Oreochromis niloticus: one gene and its partner. The protein of the gene in region 1 interacts with the protein of each later gene in a pairwise test. Links are inferred from orthologs where the notes say so. Each region holds a gene or a part of one and is shown on either strand. Other genes may lie near its edges.

What was found.
Region 2: the proteins of mos (region 1) and sec24c interact in binary tests that used the Homo sapiens proteins (3 or more experiments, as listed by UniProt). The two-hybrid records come from large-scale screens. The link is inferred for Oreochromis niloticus from reciprocal best matches to the Homo sapiens genes MOS and SEC24C.

What each region holds. Positions count from the first base shown.
Region 1 is NC_031974.2:34,870,288-34,878,210, forward strand, and holds mos (proto-oncogene serine/threonine-protein kinase mos), read left to right. Parts: upstream 1-5,002; 5' UTR 5,003-5,806; coding exon 5,807-6,946; 3' UTR 6,947-7,399; downstream 7,400-7,923.
Region 2 is NC_031973.2:10,125,586-10,133,622, reverse strand, and holds the start of sec24c (protein transport protein Sec24C), read left to right. Parts: upstream 1-5,027; 5' UTR 5,028-5,213; intron 5,214-7,219; 5' UTR 7,220-7,238; coding exon 7,239-7,398; intron 7,399-7,666; coding exon 7,667-7,747; intron 7,748-8,037. Other genes in the region: synaptopodin 2-like protein, read right to left, coding at 2,585-2,686. UniProt on the Homo sapiens protein: Component of the coat protein complex II (COPII) which promotes the formation of transport vesicles from the endoplasmic reticulum (ER).

The sequences.
Region 1 (7,923 bases):
TTTGCACAGACTAACCTGACTCTAGGCTGTGAAATTTAAGTGATCCATGTTTCCTCAGTATCGGGTATCTAAGACCTGAGGCGGCAAAACGGCCCTAAACCATGATAATATTTCCATCAAGTATTTTCAGCTGCTTCCTTATTTCCCAGGGGGCTGCCACAGCAGATGGACCCACATGTTTCATTTGGCACAAATGGCACACTGCATCCACTGCCTGATACAACCTTTCCATTTATCTGGGACGGCCACTGTGCAAGGTTTGACCACCAGAGACTGGTTTCTCCCAGTCTCAAACCAGTTTCATGTGTAAGTGAACATGTTAACCACTACAACATGACTGATTGATAATTATGACATACAGAGAGATCAGACCACATGTTGAGTATTCAACACAGAAATCCTGGGAGTATCAAATGTTACCATAAAACTGCAGTCATTTTAATGTTTTTCCCTTTGACTGACATTCATCCTCACATCTTACAAATAATAAGGTCCAATTCAGTCATTTAAAATGTTAACAAAGCAACCTTTACAATGTGCTCTACCCGTGGACACAAAGTGACATCAGACACAGGTGAGAGCTAAACACACTGCTGATACAACACAACAGGACTCTGAATGAACTTACTGTGACATGAAGGCTTTTTGGTTTTTATTGTTACTTTGTCACATCCTGGCTGTCATTCCATTTTTAAAAAGACTGTTGTCATCGAGCATTTTTGAATTTGTGAAACTTGAAGGGAACGTTGTTTCACAGTGTTGTGCAAACCCAGCATCCCCTGGACAACCTTTAAAATAATTACAGCTGACAAATAGATCAGTTTGATGGTCAAGCAATTGTCTAAAACTGCATTATCAGATATTAGTCATACATTAGTCTGCACTGACTAAATCTATGAATATCTGAGCACTAAAACACAATCCTGGAAGACGTGGCTGTGTTTACTATGACACAGTGTGTGAAAATAACTGAAATACTGTTTATAAGTACAAAGGAAACTGCTCAGTTGGATTTTACTGCAGTGCTTAAATGGTCTTTACAGTCTTTTCAGTTCTTTGACATAGCACTGCGTTATTCCTAAAACCTGCCCTCTGAGGTCAAAATCTGCCTACAGGATGGTAGACTGAAGCAGTTCTGCTCCTCTATGAGAATGATAGTTCAAATGAAAGGATTTACAGCACTGGTCCTTGACGTCATAGATCGTCATATAAAAAACATGTAACCACACAGTGGTTTTCATTCATGTAGAAACTTCAAATACTAGAAAAAGAAAGTCAAATTGTCTTGAGGGGTAGATGTTAAGACATGGAGTGTTACTGGATCTTTAATTATAACGATTTTGAATTGTTCACTATTAAAAGGTGGTTTCTTTAAATTCTTTGATCAAAAGGATGACTTCTCACAGAATGGGCTGATGTGGTTGATGCTTGGTCAGAAGCAGTAAAGGCAGGCAGCGAGTAGTAACTCTGCCTCAGATGGACAGTTCCAGGTGCGTAAATCAGCCTACACACAGGGCGCATTTAAAACCTCGTTCTCAGTCAGCGTGATGTTGTTCAGATGAGCATCAGATCTCAGCTGTTCGCATGAACAAGAAGCGTTCCAGTCATATATATCAAACACAGGTGATGCATTATAGTCCATGTTAGCTGTTGGTTCTCTTGACATTTGGAGTGAAAGATGCTTAAAGATCTCAATAAATGGATAAGAGCTCAGCTTGTGCCAGCTTGTAAACACACACTGAAGCATCACGGTTTAGGATTGTAGACCGCACAGTAACTATGTGACAACATGAACTCGTGCTGCTGGCAGACTTACGTGGCCAGACATATTCATCTGTAATTCTTGGTTTCATTCAGGAATCATTCATGTCTTACTGAAACTGAATGCATTGATGGTGTGGAACATAGCTGGCAGTTGGCTCCATGTTTGTGTCCAGTATGAAGGAAGCGCCGTACACCCCATGGCGTACTGGTTCCAGTTACAGTGGTGATGTGTAGACAGAGAAACACTGAGCGATTACTTTTGATGCGAGTTTGACGGCACTTCTCGTGGCTGTGGGGTTAGGGTACGTCACCACTCGTCACTTTGACTTTGTGCTTTGGACAGAATTTCTCTGAGGTTTTGTGTTTTCGTTGGAATAAAGATTTCTTCTTCATGGACATGTTTCCGATAATGGGGGAAATGTATGTATTTTGAATAATGCCTGTGTATTTGTGACCTTGACTACATTGACATATCCAAACCATATTAGGTTGTATGTTACTCTGTCACCAAAGTTTGGGCCACAGCAAACTGACAGGTGGGAAAGTGTTCCCATCCCACACAGAATCTACTAAACAAGCATTTAGTCTTGTTTAAACTGCTGTTCCCAAGGTCAGTAATGATGGTTCATGCTCATCACTGTGGCTTCTGTTGTAAATGAGACAGTATATATAGAGAGTTTCATATTTCTTGCAGCTGGATATGAATTATTTTTCGTTTTGGTTAAAGTCTTTTTTTAAACCCTGGCATCAAACAGTTACAGTAAAGAGTGACAAGTCTGTTTCATGTTTGTTGCTTTCACCACTTCCACGAGCGTCAGTCACACCTGCACCTGAAGGTGAATAGATCAGATTTAGTGCGATAGCGTCAACACATTCTTGTATAGTTTGACTCCATGTACCTGTGTCCATGCCCTGCCTGCAGTGGTCTGACAGTCACTGCCATAAACAAATCTTATTTCATCCAGTGAACCTGTTTGGACACCTGATCCCCTTTGAAGAGCTACTGGGCTGCGCACTCTACAGAAAATGTGAATTTCACAGAAATTGAGTCGTCACTTCCCTTCCACCACATAGGTTAGCATTTCCACACATGTGGTGACTCGTCTGATGCCTGTATAACCCAATAGTGTTATAATTTACCTCACTTTTCTTCTTTGAGCTCCAAAATTCTGAAAATAATGACACAAAGTTCCCTGTCTCCTTTGTGAGTGACCAGAGATGAACACGAATGGAAACCATATTTTTGTAGGTTGTGTGAAATGTGGAACTGAATTCTGAATGTTCCCAACCTTTATGGAAGTTTGCTCTTTGGATCTTGTGAATGTTTGTGGTTTTACAAGAGATGTTAGCAAGCCGCTATTTTTATTAGCACTTTTTGTAAATGGGATGCGTTTATTTCCTGCAGCATCGAGTCTTTTATTACAAATGTATAGATTCTATATTTAGCTCTTTTAGAGAACAATAACATGTAAATACAATATAAATGTTTTATTTTTGCAGGTACAATTTTTGACAGTGTTTTTCCTATAAAGTGTCATTTTTGCTTTACTTGCACAATTGCTCTGTGTTTCTCATTGAGGGCTCTTGCTTTGCAGCTTTGTTTGGACTTAATTGGTCTCCTTTGACCGTTGGTACGCTGGTTTAAGTCAGAATGCACCGTAGTGAAGCTGAAACGAAGCTACTTAATAATATCACTGTGTCACAGAGTGTTTAGATGTCCAAAAATAAGATGTGTCCAATAGCTCCATGAGTGTGTCCTCTTCTGTCATTTTTACACCTCGGTGTGATACATTACTTGATTTCCTCGTGGTCGCTGTCTGAAAGCTGCAGCTAGCTACACATGTGATGTATAACTCTTATGGACTGTACGACAGATTCCAGGTACAGAGAAGCAATAACAGTGGATCAAAGCTGATTACAAGTATTTTAGAGAGAGTGTGTGTGTGTGTGTGTGTGTGTGTGTGTGCGCGTGTGTGCGTGCGCTCTGTCCTGGTACGTGCTGAGGCAGGAGATGCTCTTCAATGAGAGGCACAGACCTTTAGCAATTCAAACTTCTTTATAAGCTTCAATGGTACCAGTGAACTTTATTGAATGTTATGAAAAAACACTGCAATATATTTTGGTATTGGATCAAGCTGCTAACATACTTCTAAAGCTCCTTAAGGTGCTACAGACCTCCTTACTATCTCTTCAGACGTATCGTTTGTACAAAGTATCCCGTGTAGCTGAACAGTTGGTATGTGTGTGCCTAGTTGTACTTTATAGCTTCATATATTTTCTTGTACTGTGACTTTTGTAGTCTTTGCCTTTAATATAGCCCCACCACCACCCCGCCCACGCTCACCTGCGTGTGAGCGTCCACAGACTGAGTCGTGTTGGGAGGTTACGCTGATGCTGGGAAACTGATAGCAGTGTAAATGAGCTGCATCCAGCCACATTTAAAAAGACCATCCTGTGACGATGATCGACTCGTTGCAAATTCTTAATGTTCTTCATATTTTACTTTACTTTTTTTTACTTTTACATTTATCTTACAAACTACTGTTGTATTTTTATAGGCAAAGTATCACCTAAACACACAAATACATATACAGCTCACACTCGTCTGTGTGTGTTTATAGGTTGTGTAAAATAAATGTTAATCCTGCAGCTTTGACATCATCCAAAGAAGCAGATTATTTATTGCCTGGCAGAATAACCTGATTTCATTCACATATGTTGCTGCTATAATAGAAGAGCTGCAGTTGACAACTCCAATGTTTTATTCAATGTAATAAAAGAAATCAAACAGAGAAGAATCCAGCTCGTCTGTTTTCAACGTGTCACTCTGAGAACTTTGTTACTGTTACACACTGAAACACTGTTACACTGTGTAACTCACTGTAACTCTTAACATTGTTTTCACTGCTTCTCTGAAACACTCCTGAAGATGCAAAAATCCACTTTAACACTTTGATCTTCACTCTATAACATGAGGTCTTCATCATAATGGTGTGATCTTTGTGTAAAAATGGGCTCGCCTTACAATGTCAACAAAAACTGGTGACTATCAGCAGTAGTTGTGTTTTACTTTAAATCCCCATCATATTAGCACAGCTTCAGTATGCTGTGCTTTTAAAGTAGAGAGCTTTGGAAACCACTCGTCTGTGATGGGATGGGCCCAGTCGTTTAGGACTTTCTACATGAGAAGAATGGTTCAAACACAGGAAAAGACATCAGCTTTAGTAATGTCTCCTTTAATTAAACATGAATTTGAACCACTGACATTAAGGAATTTAAGGTGCTGTAATATTTTAGCCTTTACTAAAGTCTAAATCCACACTCATGGCTGTATTCTAAACTGATGTATATTTGATATCACTGTTCTTAACAGTCATCATCCTCCTAAAATCAGGGTCACGGGGGGGCTGGGGTCTATCACATGGCTTTAGCTTGCTAGTAAGAAATGTATTCAAATCAAAGCTTTAAGCTTTTTAATACGTTTCCTTTTCTTACAACATGAAAAATCTCTCTCACCCATGAAAATGACAAAATACCTCGTACTCTGAAGGTTTGTGTGTGACAGACATGCAGCAGATTTCATAATCAGCTGTGTGCATTGTGTCACTGCCTACAGTGCAGTACAGAGATTTCAGACAGATCTTTTCCCATCAGACTGGTTCCAGTAGCTTGCATTAAAACACAGTAATGAACAGTTACATGTTTTCCTTTGTTACCAGTGAGCAGGCTGTTAGAAAGTGAGCATCTGTTTTTGCATGCTGGAAAAGTCAGAGAGAGTGAAACAGACAGGCTGTGAGCTCCACGCTCCTCGGTGGAGCTCCCTCCCCCAGTCTCACACTCAGTCCACCCTGACAGTTCAGGGAGGGCTCTCCATCCGCAGCTTTAAACACTGCGCACACATTACCAGCTCACACGGCTCGCCATGACGTATATATGACCGTAGATGTTGTTATGCTTACTATCCCAGATGTTGTTCACACAAAGCCGTCCTTTTACCCGGCTCTGCCCTGTTGTATAGAGTAAACTGAGTTGAACCATCGGCATGAACCCAGTGAACCCAAACAGAAGCATTACATCCTCCAGAACAGTAGGCGGCAGTGCGGAGCGCGTAAAAGCCTCAGCTGAGCGCAGAGTAGCTGTTCGGCGTGCAGAGCAGTATGGTCCACAGCGTGCCATGCCTTCTCCCATCCCGCTGACCCGTCTGCTGCCCAAAGACTTCTGCCCCTCTCTGGACACGGGGCCCTGCAGCAGCCCGCTGACTAAGCACGGCTCCACCCTACAAGTGCCCGCTCAGCGGCTCCATGGCAGAGTCGCCACTCGGCTTTGGTCCTCGGTTATCCACTGGAAGCAGCTGCGCTCCGTGCAGCCCGTGGGCTCGGGAGGCTTCGGCTCGGTCTACAAGGCGGAGTACTTCGGAGAGACCGTGGCGGTGAAGAAGGTCAACAGGTCAACCAAGAACAAGCTGGCGTCCCAGCAGAGCTTCTGGGCCGAGCTGAACGCGGCGCACCTGCGCCACGCGAACATAGTGCGCGTAATAGCTGCCACCACCTGCGTCCCGCCACAGTGTGGAGATGAAGGCAGCATCGGGGTTATACTGATGGAGTTCGTGGGCAGAAGGAACCTCCAGCAGGTCATTTACGGTGGCACGGAGCCGCTGGGACAGGACAGGTGCGTCAGGTACTCCTCGGACATCGTTCACGGCCTGAGGTTTCTCCACTCCCACGGCGTCGTGCATCTGGACATTAAACCAGCTAACGTGCTGCTAACCAGCCAGGACGTGTGCAAAATAGCAGATTTCGGCTGTTCGCTCAAACTGGACCCTGGCTGTGAGGTCAGCGCTGCGAGCCACCAGCCACTCGTGGGTGGCACGTACACGCACAGAGCCCCTGAGCTGCTCAGAGGCGAGAGGGTGACTCCTAAAGCGGACATCTTTTCTTTCGGCATCACTCTGTGGCAGCTTCTCACCAGAGAGCCGCCCTACACCGGCGACAGGGAGCACGTCATCTACGCGGTGGTGGCTCACAATCTGCGGCCTTCTGTTCAGGACCACCAGGTGTTCGGGTCGGAGCCGGGGCGGCTGTTTCGGGCTCTGCTGAGCCGCTGCTGGAACGGAACGCCCCCCTGCAGACCCAGCGCCCAGGAGCTGCTGTCGTCCCTGGAGCAGCTGCAGCCGCAGACCTGATTTGATCGTCGAAGCTACGCACAGGTGTGTGGACAGCTGTGGGTTTGAATATGTTCACCTTCAGGAAACGAGTACTGTGCGTTAGGCCAGGTCAAAGCTGAGGAAACCATGGAAGTGCCTTTCTGCAGACGCACATGGAAACGCTGGCTGTCTCTGACTACATGTCAATCATGTTTTTACTGTGCAAATAATAAGTGTGCGTAGTCCTCAGATTGTAGCATTAAAATAAGCTGGTTTTAGTTGTTTCTGTGCTGCTGTCGGGTCGGTCCTGTGGGACCAGGACACTGTTTTTGATATTTCAGTCAGCTTCTACAAGATCTTCCTCTCAGACCACTGAACGTCCTGATCCAACTGACACTGTTTCCAAATGTTTCTGAAATGTGTTGTGAATCAAAGTGTGTGTAATGTGATATTTGGGTGTGATGGGTTTCATTAAAATTCTTTTTTATGCCACGTTTGTCTGGTGTTCACATCATTAGAGGGCATCAGCTCGTCGGAGGCTTGGCATCGACACAGATTCCACCAAACTGAAGACTGAAGCAGTGAAATGAGCCGTGGGCCACTGCTGACACTGTCGTCTCATTGGAGGACACTTTAGTGTTCAAGTAGTACGTTTCAAATGTTGTGTAGCAAGACTAAACACATTGGTCCTGTCTGTCTGACACGTGGCAGCACTGCTGCTGTCATTGTGTTCGTATTTAACAAAAACACTGCATTAGATTTCTTCACATCAGTGTACAGGCCGGAGGTAAGGCTGAGGTGGGCTGCGAGTTTGAGACCCTGGACTAAATGGACTGAACATCTATGGCACTCATCACTTTTTACTACCAGCCTCATTCACCCAATCACAGGTTTCTTTTCCGGTGCCTATCAGCACACACAGCTCAGCTGATGCCCCGGGGCCAACACGAGGTTCGGTACCAAAGATACTTTGACCCACAGACCCACTCTAATCCTGAGCCACAGTTGCCCACTTT
Region 2 (8,037 bases), on another chromosome or scaffold:
TTGAGGTCACTGCACGGTCCTGCTTTAGTATGTCACTATATTGTTTTTTCCTAATAAAAATCTTTGATTGCTCCTGCACAGGCACCGAAACACTGTCAAGTATTTGTTAGCTTCTTTTTTTATGCCTGACTATATAAAAGTGACCAAAAACATTCTGCAACATGCAGCTCTCCTTTAGCGGGAGTCATTATCGTCCCTGCATCGGAATTAACTTCTGAAGTCATGCAGCTGTTGCTGAAGGTCACTAAGAGATGATGTCATAGGATCCTTCAGGAAATATGTCTACTGGGGGGTAGACACTACTGGGGGAGTGATAGATCGTATAGATGGAAAGGCAACTATTCTTGTCTGCTAGATTATAATTAACTCTAAAAGAAAAAGATAAAGCTATCCAATCTGTAGCCTCACATAAACACACTGATACACACACTTTATCGCTGCTGAAGGTAAAAATGTTAAGTGTGTTCAAGCGCCTCCTTTGCCTTTATCAGTATCTCCTGACCCAATAATCCAACTCTGTCGTCATTCAAGCGAAGCAAGGACAAGCTATTTATCTCCAGCCAATGTACACACACACGTACACACACAGCTCAAGTGAGCATCATGAAAGAGGGGGTTTGAACAGCTGCTTCACCAGTCTGGACCATGGGGCATGCCTGTCATTCACCATATGTCGCCCACATACCCGAAATAAAACCTTGCAGGAAAATCACCCACATTCTTACACAAATGGGGGAAAGACAGATGCTACTATTATGGATAAACCACACACAGGCACAGACATGCAAAAGTAGAATTAATTAAAAAGGAAAGAAAATGTGTGTGTTTGTGTGTGTGTGCCTGTATTTTTTTATGTGACCAAGAGGTCGTCCTTTTTCCATGCTCAGCTTCCAGCTCCTCTTCGATGAGCTATTCTGATCCTCTGGTCCTCTCCATTCCCAATTGGGCTTATCTGAGGCATGTCCAACCACAGATAAACACACCAACAGACTGAAGCACACACTCATCACTGATCAACCTCCCATCAAAATCCCTTTTCCACTTGAAAGTCTTTAATGAACAGAAGCACATTTCCGAATCAGACGTTTTGGCTGCTCGTGGATGAATGATGGACTTTCAGTGTGAGCGAGTCCACATTCCTGCTTTCCAGAATAGCTTTTCCCATTAGAGAGCACATTCTGGACTGTCATCAAATATAAACAGAGATGCAAAAAGCCTTTAGAGAAACCCAGCCAGAAAAAAAAAATCTCTTAGGCTTAAAGATGGATTAATGTGTCACACAAATATGTGACAGTGAAAAATATGAAGCAAGTTCATTACCTGTTGTAGGTGTGTTCACAATAGCCGGACGTGTACTCATATACATGGATGACATATGAACCTGTTTCAAAGAAATCCAAGGATGGAACTCGAGTCAAACCCCAAACATGTGTTCACGCTGCTCACTGACCCACTAATTCCCTCAAAACAGGTGAGGCACAAAGTGAACTGGGCCACAGCCAAACGAGTGTCAGGAACAGTGGCCAGAATTCCCTTTCCCTCTGTCAAGTATTGTAATGCAATTATTACATTTTTTAAAACTAGTTTTGTTTCTTTGTGTTGTTTTAACTCAAGCAAAACAGTTTGTAAAATGACTAGAAGCAAAAGGAAAATGCATATTTCAATAAAGTTTTTACAGTCATTCATAGAGACGGGTAATCCTCTTTCCCCAAAAACCAGTTTGGAGCCAGGAAAAATCCTGAACTGTCAAAACTGTGTGAACTTGAAGGGACATTACTTTTGCTCAGAAGTTTATATTAGATCACACTCTAATTAAAATCATTTTTAAATGAATTTGCCCATCAAGGAAGTCATTCTTGCCTTTCTAGGCAAGAACAAGTAAATGTAAAATAGAAAGTATATAGTTTAGTTTCTGGATTTGCTCACTTTAGTTTATCTCCTTATTTATTAAAATATTATGTTAGATTTCATTTTTATACTGGAGTTTTTTTGTTTGTTTGTTTGTTTGTTTGTTTGTTTTTTGTTTATTATGTCACAGTAATGCTATTTTTTAGAGGCAAAGTTTCATATTTTCCAAAAAATACAAACATTGACTCACAATCACAATCAATTCATGGTAGTTGTATTGACGAACTTCACTAAATCGATAAAGGCTGAAATGTAAGATGTTAGTTTTGTAAGTACACAGAATAGTTTTAGTTTGTTTTGTTTAGATTTTGTGTTAATTCCAGTTAACTGAAATGTATTTTTGCTTCTAGTTCTAGTTCAGTTTTAATTAATTAGAATAACATAATTACTGACAAAAATACAGCACATTGAAACAGTTTCAAGCATGACTTAATTTAGGTGTTCAAATTCCTAAAAACACCTACAAGAACCAGAAAGTAAAATCTCTAGTGACTCTACTGCAGCTGATTCATTTATTCGTATTTCAGGTCAGATTACAGACCACAAGACTCGCTGAGGCCTGAGCCTACAGTTAACAGCTGCAATCTCCATCAAATCGTCTACTCACATTACTACCTTGGCAGCAGACTTAACTACAACATACTGCATGCATACACATATATCAGATCTACTGTACCTTGGCCACCTGTAGAGGTTTTTGCTGCTCAGCTCCTCCCTGGAGTCTGAAACCCCACGGGGCTCCTCCTGAGAGAGACACCACAATCTCCTCAGCTACCATTCCTGCTCTCAGCTCACAGCCTGCTGTGTGCCTGTGTGGTGGTGTATATGCTGCTCTCCCCTTCTTCAGTTCCTCACACTCTGTGAGTATCAATAGGTATCTCACTGCTTTCCGTCACTCCACCCATGAGGAGACAGAGGGTGGCTGGCTTTCATCTGCTCAGGCTGGAATGCTGTGTCAGAGGGTGGGAGCTCAGCAGGGTGAGAAGGGGCAAAAGTGTGTAGCGTGCTTGTGTGTATGTGTGTGTGCATTCGTCCTGACTTGGATTCAACACTTGCCATGTCACTCTCCAGCACCCTGTCCTGCAAGGGGCACTTACTGATATATCCTCCAGAAATAACCATCAGCACCACTCCCTCTTCAACCCCCCCCAGCTCAGCAAGCCTGACCAGCACCCGCAGCACATGGACTAGTCTTCTTAATGGGTGACTATCCAATCTGACAGTTTCAGAGTGGGTGCTAAAGGGACTTCTGGCTCTGAGGAAGTAGAAGTTTGGTGCTGTCGCACTTTGTGAAAACTGTTACAGAACAAAATGCATTATTCCAATAAATGAGGAGCTTGGCTGATGTATTAAAGCTTAATCACATCAGACGTCGCTAAAGGAAGGCACACGATTAAAGAATTTGTACTTGGCTACCTGATCAAAATTGCAAACCCATTTGAGATGATTAAAAAGAGAAATTGTCCTGCATTTTGCAAGCTCAAAATGTGGACAGATTTGGCAGTTCTACAGTGTATTGGCTTCTTCTGGCTTACATTTAGAGGCGCTGGAAGTCGGCCGCATCATATTCAGATGGCTTCCTCATATCACATTGTGATTATTTGATGAATAGCCAACACTCCTAACCAAGCAAGATAAAAACAGCACCCCTGAAAAGAGTAGCATGGGCTATCAGGAGAACTTTTTGGTGTATGTTCTGTATGTTCTGTATGGTCTGTTGTTAGCCAGAATGCTCAAAATGCTACAGAGGACAGGCATTTAAAAACTGATGGATTGGGGGTTTGTCGTATTACATTTTTTGAGGTTTTTACTGAGATCTTTATCTATTTTTTTTCTTTTTTATTTACTGGCTGTACCACAGCGAAGATGATTTACACCAAATGGCATTCCTGATGTATCCAAGCTTCAGACTTGTACAAGGAGTACAGTGGCTCTTGGCAAGAGGGAAATGGAAGGTTTACAAGATGGTAGTGAAACCTGCTACATTATATGGTTTGGACTGAAAAAAGACAGAAGGCAGAGCTCCTACGGATACAACAATACCATTACTATGTACATTTATAGCTACTTTTACTTTCTAAGTAGGTAAAATACTTATTCCACCAAAGAGGAAAAAGAATACTCAATATAAATAGATTCTGAAACTCTTTTTCAGTGCAACATTTTGCATTGCAACTCTTTTGCAGCACCTATGTTAGCACATAATATAGGTGCTATAGTTCCATAATACAGCGTCTATATCAGGGAAAGGGTTTTCTACACTAGTTTAAAGATTTGCCAGATGCCAGATGCCAGATGTAACCCCATGGGATAAAACTTCATTTTATTTTATTTTATTTATTTATTGGTATTATTGTAATGAAAATTCAGTTATTCCTAATGATAAGATATTGTCATGTATGTTGCGGGTCCTAAGGACAAATTTTATGTGGAAACATGTAAATGAAAATGAAATATACATTTATATTTTTAAATATTTTTCCACTACATACAAATTTTTATTGTATTTTATTGTAAAATTGAGACTGAATAAACTCCTCAGGAAGGTTAAGTCAGTTGTCGGCATGAAACTCACCACCCTGGAGGAGATGGTCGGTGACAGAATTCTGGAAATCATATGTATTAGTACTTATGTCTTGCTATATTTATATTGATATCTTTATTTCTTTTTCTCTGTTATATCTCTATTTCTGCATTGGATTTATTGTGTGTTGTATGTATACTGCTGTGACATCTGAAGTTCCCTCTGATCTGACCTTATCTGAAAAAACTGCTCAAAAGTGCCTCTTTTTTTTAGTAAGGGTTGATTACGCTGACCCCAGCAATACCCTTCCTCCACTGGTTTTTGGTCCCCTCTGTGCCACCACAAATATCATGAAACATCCCCTGTTTAATAACTTTTATTAATAACTATCAATGCTTTGATTAAAAAGACTGGCATTTTACATGTTAAATAGTTGGTTGCCGATACCGTATTCCAATTACACCGCTGCCTTCTCAAACTCCCGAAGAGAAGGTGAAAAAACAAACCCCAATTCTTACAATGAAACCAAAACTCTTAACAGAGCAGCCTGAACAGCTTCCAGCAACCACTGCTGCGCTCTCTCGGAGGAAGTCGCTTTGCGGAGTCCGGATGTGGACGTGGCACAGCGCTGCAGCAGTTCCGCTGAATGTCCGCTTCTGATACCGAGAAGGGATTAGTGAGCAACACCCCGGGACGACATCGGCGTCTTAGTTTGTCGGCCACCGGGCTTCACAATTTGCATCAAATCTAGGACAGCCTTACTATTTACATCACTTTGGAGGTAGGTTTAGGTTTTGATACGGTTTCTTTTTTGCCATCCCCGCCCGGCTTCACTGGGGATCTTGGATTTCGCTACGTTTGCTAATGCTTGGCTAATGCTAAGGCACTGCTAGCACCGCTCTGAGGAAAAGCTAGGAGATTACGAGCTAACTTAGCATTTAGCATTTGGTCACAGCTGATGTGCTGTCATGATTCAGGCTGTGTGGTTGCTAACGTTAGCATGCTGGGGTAGCTGGAGTCTGGTTAAATAAGGAACGTGTCCTGCTTTGACCCCTACTTAGAGTCAGAACAGTTACCTGTATAATAAGAGAGGCAAGTTGTTTTTGACTCTTGGTTGACATGTTGTCTGGCTAATGTTAGCATTGCTAGCGAGCTAATTGTAATGCGGCGGCATTACTACTCGCCAGATTTCACACTTCCCTCCTACAAAACAGTCTTTTCCCTACCTGGCACGTGTTTTTTATTCTCAAACACCCTGTTTCTGTGTGAGTTTTAAAAAGTTCTCCGATGTTTGGATAAAATTACTAGCCCAAACCTTTAGCAGTGCACCTTGGAATTGATGTTGGTCACTCTGTAGGCCCGACGTAGTAAAAGAACAGTTACGGTTCCAGCGATTGTTTCTGGCTGTGGCACCTGCACTGCTGAATTATTCAATGGCCCCGCTCGTTTAGCTCGTGTTTGTCTGTCAGACGATACTGATCACTCATGTCTTATATTTTAGGCCTGTCTCCAGGAAAAAAGTGAATAAAAACACCACTCACCCACATCTGTTAGCAGGGTTAAAGTTGACATGTGTTGGAGTTATGCTCATAAAGGTGATTTTCCTAATTCAGCATTTAGTTTCTTCTCACTGCCTTAATTAGTTTTTATTTTATGTTATTGTCGATTTATGATTGACTTAGTTTGCACGCTTGCCCTGCTCTTCTCATTTGAGATATTTTTAGTGTAGTTTTCATCACTTTAAGTATTAGATTTTATAAGTTGTTTAGGAAAGTCATGGCAAGACAACATTGACTTTCTATCATGCAGATAGCCCAGTATAGCAACAAAAGTTGCTTACATGCATTTTATTGGCTTATTTACCAGCTTGACAACGTCTAAAACCCATTTCTTAGATGGTTATTTTAGTTTTCTAACTATACAATCTTTAGCTCTTAAGCTTCTTTCACAAGAAACTTAAGATATAACTAGTCATAACTATGTTTTTCATCCTTTTAGTTGTCTACAATACACTTTCTCTATAATTACTTGTAAAACCTATACTCAGGTATTATCTGATACTATCTTTAAAGCTGCCAAAGAGTTGCATAATAATTTTGCATTTTGTGTCATTTTAACAATAAGTCTTTGATATTAATGTTTGTTTACTTTCTTTTGGTTGTAATCTTTTTATTTAATGTTATTTAATTTTTGTAGCACATTGTGTAAAATTTAAAAGGCTGAGGGTGTGGCCAAGTCAAACATAAAAAGCCAATAAAGGTGTTGTCACTGAACCAGGAAATGTTAATGTCATAAGTCAGTGGGATTTATGTCAGACTATAGACATTTACAGAGTTTAGAGTCCTGCGGGGCAAAGCTCTTCTGTGTCAGTTTGCCTGTTTTTTAGTTCAGGTGCTTGGTGCCAAAAACTTCATTTGGGATCCATTATGTTTTATGTGGATGTTAAGATCTTGCTTGTTATTTTAGTTAGACTTACTGGTTAAACTGCTTTGGAAAAAACTTTTTCTTAAACAGGACAGTTGTCAGTAAATGTTATAACAGTATGTGCAAGCACTGCTGTGTGGGCAGATTCTCCCTGCTCCTTGAACGAGCCTGTGTCTTTGTTTCAGAGAAACACAATACTTTCACAACAGCCTTTATCAGTACTGGCCTTATTTCAGGGGCTTTCACACTACAGGTGCCCTGGTTGTATTATTGTTCACACACAGAAAACAGGCTAAACAAGTTTAATCCTTAATTATGACATCTAAGTAACTAACTGTATTGTTATTTCAAAATTTCATCCAGATTTAGGGATGAACTGAGGATGAATGTAAACCAGCACACGCCAATGGCCTCTCCATATGGCCAGCCCCAGCCTGGTTATGGCCAGCCTGGTTACGCTCCCCTGGATGGGAGCTATCCAGCACCCTACGCACCCTACAATGGCCCTGCGTCAGCCTATCAGCCTGGGGCTCCACCGCAAGGTAAAGTGCAGTTTGTTTAAAAAAATGTGCGCATGAGTGAGACATCCAGCAGTTCAGGTAGGCTGTACTTTAAGCATTCAGAGGGATATAACCTTGGAGTGTCCTACATGCCTCCTGCCATGTGAATGATCATGTATGTGTGAGCAAAGCACAGCACCTGAGCATACTAATCGGATTTTCAGCTGCCCTCTCCTTCCTTCATTTTGCTTCATGCACTTCTCTTCATCTTCTTGTATTTGCCTCCTTCCCCTCTTCTCTTCTATTTCAGGTTACTCTCCTTTCACAAGCTTTCCCTCTAAGGCTTTGGCAGCCAACCCAGTCTCTGACCTCCCCTCTCCTCTTGACTTAGGTAACCAGCTCATCTCTGTTTCTCACTCATTTCACACTTCATATGCCCTGCAATCATCAAATCCTCTCTGTACCTGCAGGTATTATTCTTCCTGCTGTGTCATTTTTCTCAGCATATAATTGAACATCTTTCTGAGACTAATGCCAGTGACGTTCCAAGTACAGCAGCCGACTACACACTAACCTTTGTGTAGGCCAGAAATATACATTATATCTCTGTTATGTGAGAGACATAAATTTAGACTTTGAATCCACTGGTCATTATTTCTTTTGCTTTTGATTTGTTGCCTT